Linked DNA regions of Danio rerio. The protein of the gene in region 2 purifies or fractionates together with the protein of the main gene of each other region. This does not show direct contact. Links are inferred from orthologs where the notes say so. Each region holds a gene or a part of one and is shown on either strand. Other genes may lie near its edges.

Region 1 (3,226 bases), on a different chromosome or scaffold from region 2:
GCTACTCCGGGTTTTACAGCACCACGAGTGTTACGATCACTAACAGGCCTGCGACGTCCAGCCTCACATCATGCGTGATCACACACACACACACGTTTCTTTCCCAAAAACATAGTTTTACGTTTTGGACATTATCCAAACTACGCAAAAGGCGGTAGTTGACGTTAACTACTTATAAACCACCAAATACTACATTCCCACGGCGAGGAAACGCGAGATATGAGAATGTAAATTGTGCCACTCGAACGCACCTTATTGAATCGGTCCGCCATGATGTGGGAAAAGAAAGACACGCGGGGCCGCCTGGCGTAAAAGACAGGGGCGAGGGCGGAGCTTTCGCGTCATCGGAAATGACGTTAGGATTAGCTGTTCTTCAGAGGACGTTTGTAATGCCTGTTATTTATGTCTACTGCCATCAGCTGGGCTCCAATGAGCTACAACGCCTTTAAAATATTAAAAATATAATAATAAAGAAGTGTTGTCTCGAACATTTTCTAAAGCAGTGTTTCTCAATCTGATCCTGAAACCCAGCATTACGGCATATTTTAATATATCTCATATTTATACAATATTGGGTCATTCATTGGTGTCAGAACCTTTAATTGTCTGGTCAGATGACATAACCTATTTATATGACTGAAAGTAACAGTTAAGATACATTTAGCTCTCAAACCAATAGTTAGCTTTAGTTAGTTTAGCTAATAGTTAGCTTTCACCAAACGTATTGATACCAAGACACACTTTTACATTCGAGACAATTTCTTGTTTATTGTCAAAAGAGGGAAAATGCACTGGGTTAATACACAATGTGTTGTTTCAGTTATATAACCATATCTGTATTATAACATGCTTTTATAATAGTATAATCACAGAGTTCACTGTTTAGTAAATAAGCAATTACAAATATTCAGCAGTTTCACAATTCATGTGTTGTATTTTCTGTCTTAATGCCTCAGTCATCATGTTTGAGTTTCTTGATTTTGCTCTCGTGGCGGGTGATCTCATGCTGTAATCTCTCGATTTCCTTCTTGTGATGGTCAATCTCTTCCTGGTGGTGTCTTCTCAGAGCAGACAGCTGTTCTTGCTCTTTTCTCCTGTGAAGGAAATACAATGACAGAATAGGTCATGAAGTAACGGTTTAGGTTGCTTTACATTCAGTTATTTTTTCAATAATACTCAGCTAATGGCCAGTAGATATCAAGTATAAGCAATTACATAATTATCAGCTCAAGCAAAACCACTCACTTGAAGTACATCTCCTCCTCAGCGGCCTGTTTCTTGCCAAATGCACCTCCAGCCTGCCTCACGGCACCTCCACCACCACCTCCTTTCCCAGCACCTTTACCCAGTTCACCTAACTTTATCAGAGAGAGAAAGAGAGAGAGAAGGTTGCACAAGACAAAACAAAACAATTTATTACTCAACTAGTAATTAGTGACTGATAGGCTGACAAGCACCGTGTATATATGGATATATATATATATATATATATATATATATATATATATATATATATATATATATATATATATATATATATATATATATCCTGTAAAAGCAAGTCTTGCTGATGAAGGACAAAGATTGCAGAACTTTCCTGAATGTAAACAAAGGGTCACAACACAAGGGCACCCTCAAATCTATTTATTGCGTTAAAACGGTTCGGTGTTGACAAATTTTGATAACTTAGTATTTAAAACGTAAAACTAACATATGATAACATTAAGACAAAGTCAAAGCTAACGTAGTACTTGAGAACAGATTGCGAGTGACACTGCGTGTTACAGTACATAGCACTAGAATTAGTCAAATCATCTTTGTCTTTGGCAGGCTACGGAAAGTCACTGGGCGAAATATCATATAAATATCTACCTGATCGGACGACATCCTGATCTGTGTTGTTAAGAACTTCCTGATATTGCTGTTCAGAAACCTAGCCATTTTTGTTCAGGTGTTAACACATGCACTGACATGAGCGTGAGCTGCTGTCTGTAACGTCGACTCAAAACAGGAACGTACCATTACTGTAGCAATATAGGTGAGCGCTGTCTAAATCTCACTCATATTCGCAGCTACCCAAGTGTAATTTTTTGTTAATTAGCTAAAGTACGTCGACGTATTATTTTAAATATATTACTAAAAAGCTGGAAACGTATAGGGTGTTAGGAGTTTTTGTTGTTACTTATAATGGTACATTCGTCAGTCGCTGATCAGACGTGCGCGGCGCTCTTCCTGTCACATTTGGCGACATATTACACAGCGTTGTTTTCTAATTTGGTTCTCTCTCTGCAGGTTTAGAGCAAATATATCTTGTTAAATAAAATACTGTAAGCAAAACTTAGGTAAATCAAAACTACTTATTTGTTTTTCTCTAGAAAATATGTACAAATAAAATGATTATCAGAGCAAAAAATGAACCAACATTGCAGTGATATATTTTATTCTTAGTGATGCAAAAGTTAATCATTCCTGTCCAATCACTCCAGAAGTCAAAAGACATATTTTTTTGTGGGTTGTGTGATCCCACTGCTATTTCACAAAGTATTTGTAGCCTACAGTTCAGGGCTAATTTTCATCAGGTGGCCATTTCATTGACTCTTCAAGACCCTACTACTCCGCTCTGAGCCTTTAACATATCATTCAAAGTAAAATCTTCAAAATTCTTTACAAGATTGTATGCCAAATTAAGCAGCCAACTAAATCCTCATAAGTTCCAACCAGTAAAACTTAGATACCAGTCAGTTTAAATTCATTAAGAAAACAGCAGAGGGAAACGTTTCCACACATTCTCATTGCAACATTCTTGCACACTCAGGCACAGAGAGAAAATGTACTAAATTATAAAACAAGATTTCTAAACTACTCATTAAATATTCAAAATCACACTTGCCCTTTAAGAGTGCTCACATTTCACACAAAAAAAAATATTTACAGAACCCCTTTTTGGTTTTAGAATAAAGACAACAAAAAATATTTAGAAAGAATCGGACATTTCAGTTGGCCTTATTTAGTCGTTCAAGTTCTGAGCAGTGGTCTCATTGGGTGGTATATAACATCTAAATACTCATTCTGGTTATTTTAGGTACACATGGTTCTCATGGGATGTCTTGGTTTCATATAATGCAGAGTTCTCCTGTGTAATGCTTTCACCTCTCTCTAACAAAATGAATGGGTGTAACAATCCAGAGGGGACAATTCATCCTTTAAAATTAATAAATTAAAAGAC
Region 2 (3,841 bases):
GCTACATTGTTAATCAGCATATTGCTGAATTTAGGCACGAGTAAGAGATTCTTTATTGGAAAAATAATGAATCAAATGGGATTATGATGAAGTAGCTACTTTTTTATACATTTATTATATGACAATATGAAACATTTTTTAATCAAGAAAACACACACACAAATGTCTCTCAGACATTGAACATAATTTTAAAAAAGTAAAATTTTGATGACCACGCATTACCATGCAAAGGTTTATTTCATCGCTATTCAATTGGCGGCCCATGGGCCAAACCCGGCCCCCGAGGCAGTTTGTTCCGGCCTTCCAAATAGTGTGACCAAGACATCAAAATTAAATTTTGTTCAGTCGAAAAACAGCCGCTTTAGTTATGAAGTGACGTGCGTCTGTCTGTTCATTACAGCGCGAGCTGCAGAGGCTGCGCAGAGCGTGAGTTACCACACGCGAGTGGTGCGGACAGCCGGAAACATTTAGATATGTTTTGTAGAAAATGCCTCTCACTGTAATTGTTAATAGGGATACAACAATTAGATGATTTCACTATTAACTGCTCTTTAATTCGTCACAGTTATTGAACCGTAAAGGCTTCTCTAAGCCGCATTTCTGTTGCAAGGAAAAGTTATGACAAGTTGTCACCTGTGGGCTAGTTTAAAGTTCCAAGTAGGCTATGTACACCGAGGCTAATATGCACGCACACCCGATTAACTATAGCAGTGGAAGTTCCCATATCACGTTTATTATTTTATTATTGCTAATGTAAGTATGACAATATGTGCGCACAATCGGAGCAACGCGCTCGCGTCTTTCCGGGCGCACGCAGTAGAAAACATCTCACGGTGAGAGTTGTGCGTGCCTTTCAGTGCAGTGTAAAAAAAAGATATGTTAGACGAATTATTATTAAAATGATTATGTATGTATGAACGCAGATGGCAACAACAGTTCATCTAAATGGCTACTTACCTAATATAAAACTTGAATTTACATTAGATGTGATAACGGTGAAACCATGATTATTCTTCAGACTATAATTATCAACCAAAATCTATAATTGTTGCATCCCTAATTGTTATGCAGTTCAAAACATAACATATGAATGTGTCTGAATGTAGAAAAAGCCATACTTCAAGAATGCACTGCTTTTGTTGTGCTCTGAAATGCAACATTTGAATGTTTATTAAAAAAAAAATTATAAAAAATCATTTTAAAATATATTTTTTTAAATTATGTTGTTTTAAAATACAATATATTCACATTTTAATGTAGAAAAAGCCAACGTGGGTGTCTTTATGAGCACAATTACAGCATATGGGCTCTTATATGCAGTTGTGTCATCACTCATATAGCAGGTTATATCTCTCCGGCCCTTCGTTTGGGATGCTTTTTATGAACCGGCCCCCATGACAAACTAATTGAATAGCCCTGGTTTATTTGTATTTTTTTTTTTTATAATATGGAGTAACATCAGGAATATTGTGAAACAGTCTAATGGTTTAATATAAATTAAAATTTATCTCAAAATTTAATTTATTCCGGTGATTTAAAGTTGATGTAATACATTTTCAGGATCATGTCTAAACAGAGCAGGAATAGAGAAGCATTTATTTGAAATGTAAACCTTTAGTAATTTTCTAAATATATTTCCTGTAACCTTATTACAATTAATTTGATACAATTTAATCGAGAAATCTAATACATTTTTGTTGAAAGAAAATATAAATTTCATTTTAAGAACAAATGTACTGGCTTTTGCATGGTAAAGAAGTACACAAATTAGATATCATGGCTGTTGACTCAATATACTAATTTGATTAATCGGTTATGGAAAAATGAACACACCTGCCCCAGCAAGTCATAATATAGTTGACTCATGATAAATGTGATGCGAAAGAACAATTTTTTGGGCAGGAGCTAGAAGAATAGCATTATGGATATAAAACGTTAAACACTAGGGGCAAAAAGTGCTCCGTATGAATTTCTGGTTTTAAGATACATCACAAGTATCAAGTTCATAAATACTTAATTGAGTGCTGTTGTTGTCCAGAATAGCAAAAGTAATTATATTTTAGATACAGTATTGTCTTTGCTTTAAGCTATAAAAGCACAGCAGAATAGACAAAAGTAAAGGGCTTTCAGTAACTAATGGCACTATACTAGTGGTAATAAAGTTATAGTAACCAACAATATTAACTTTTCTGATTTTGATGTAATGTAATTATGTCACCTTTTGTAAAGCTGCTTTGAAACAATTATTGTGAAAAGCGCTATACAAATAAACTTGAATTAAATTGAATGTAAATCTCCAAAGAACGTACTGTACAGCAGTTTCCTTTCTGAATGAAGACTTACTCGTCTAGCACCACCTAGTGGCCGCTTTGGCTTTTTATTCATAGCATTATTTCGTTTCATATACATCCAAAAAATATATCAATAAAACCGTTTCACCTGTAACCACTCTCGCTCAATCAGCGCCTCAAATCCCCGGATAGTTCTGCATGCGGGATCGAGAATGATCTGGGCAAGAGACGTCACCTGAAGTGTTGAATCTGTGCCCTCTGAGCCATGAACCAGCACTGACGCCCCTTCCCTACAGAACACCACAAAAATACACATGATCAATGGAGAGGGAAAATAAAAAAACATTTCAGAGATTGTTAAAAAATAGTTCAGTCATTATTTACTCTAAATAATATATATATATATATATATATATATATATATATATATATATATATATATATATATATATATATATATATATATATATTTTTTTTTTTTTTTTTTTATTCGTTCATTCATTTTTTTTTGGCAACCGTCAACTTATCCAGCATATGTTTTATGCAGCGGATGCCCTTCCAGCCACAACACAACACTGGGAAACACCCATACACTCTCATTCACACACATACACTATGGCCAATTTAGCTTATTCAATTCACCTATAGCGGAGGACTTTGGACTGTAGGGGAAACCTACGCAAACACGGGGAGAAAAGACAAACTCCTATTTTGGCTTTAGCTAGTTGGAAAATATCTAAGGATATGTATTCAGCAAAGTTTTAAATGTAAAACTGAAACACAAAAGCAAAATAAAAAGGCTAAATTTATGATTAACCGATAAAGGAATCGTACAGTTTGTCGAATGACATGCCTGACCAGTAAATGATGAATGATGAGTAAATGAAGGCAGAACTTACATTTTTGGGTGAACTAGCCTTTAACTGCCCCACCAAGAAAGCATTTTTTGGATTGCAATTTTTTGGATTGCATTTCTTAACTCCTAATGTCGCTAGTTAACAAACAATAGGCATTTTTTTCAACACATGCTATAATTTCTAAAATATTAACCTCTACCAAATGGTAGATATGTTGGTTTATGGTAAAAGTACCGGAATTAATACATATACTATAAAAAATATGAAAATATAAAGTATAAGACCAATTTATTTGAAAATTATTTATTTATTAATTATTTATTTAATCAAAATAAAACATTTTTTGAATACTAAGTGAAATTTCACAAACTAATTTTGAGGGGAGCATGTGATATTATTGATCGCAGCGGGTCTCACATCAGTAATCAATTGTAAGCCAATCGGATCATTTCAAACTCACAAAAAATAGACTGACATGCATTACTCCCTCATCTTTATTTTTTGAAGAATCCCCCATCCACCCCATCTCCACTTTTCCTCCTATACTAAGGGGGAGCTTTCGAGAACTACCTGATCTCGTACCCACTCACATGCTCATTGAACAGGCGGGAGCCCTGGGTTCAATTATTTCCACGCTCAGGGTACTCTCCCGGGACAGCATGCCAAACCTGCTAGTATTATCATCTAATATCT

The links.
Region 1: the proteins of mtmr9 (region 2) and atp5if1b purify together in Homo sapiens (affinity purification with mass spectrometry; 5 studies listed by BioGRID and IntAct, with this or other methods). This does not show direct contact. The link is inferred for Danio rerio from reciprocal best matches to the Homo sapiens genes MTMR9 and ATP5IF1.

The regions. Positions count from the first base shown.
Region 1 is NC_133192.1:25,996,848-26,000,073, reverse strand, and holds atp5if1b (ATPase inhibitor B, mitochondrial), read right to left. Parts: upstream 2,008-3,226; 5' UTR 1,942-2,007; coding exon 1,873-1,941; intron 1,359-1,872; coding exon 1,246-1,358; intron 1,095-1,245; coding exon 953-1,094; 3' UTR 742-952; downstream 1-741.
Region 2 is NC_133195.1:21,422,299-21,426,139, reverse strand, and holds part of mtmr9 (myotubularin-related protein 9), read right to left. Parts: intron 2,582-3,841; coding exon 2,440-2,581; intron 1-2,439. UniProt on the Homo sapiens protein: Acts as an adapter for myotubularin-related phosphatases. Increases lipid phosphatase MTMR6 catalytic activity, specifically towards phosphatidylinositol 3,5-bisphosphate and MTMR6 binding affinity for phosphorylated phosphatidylinositols.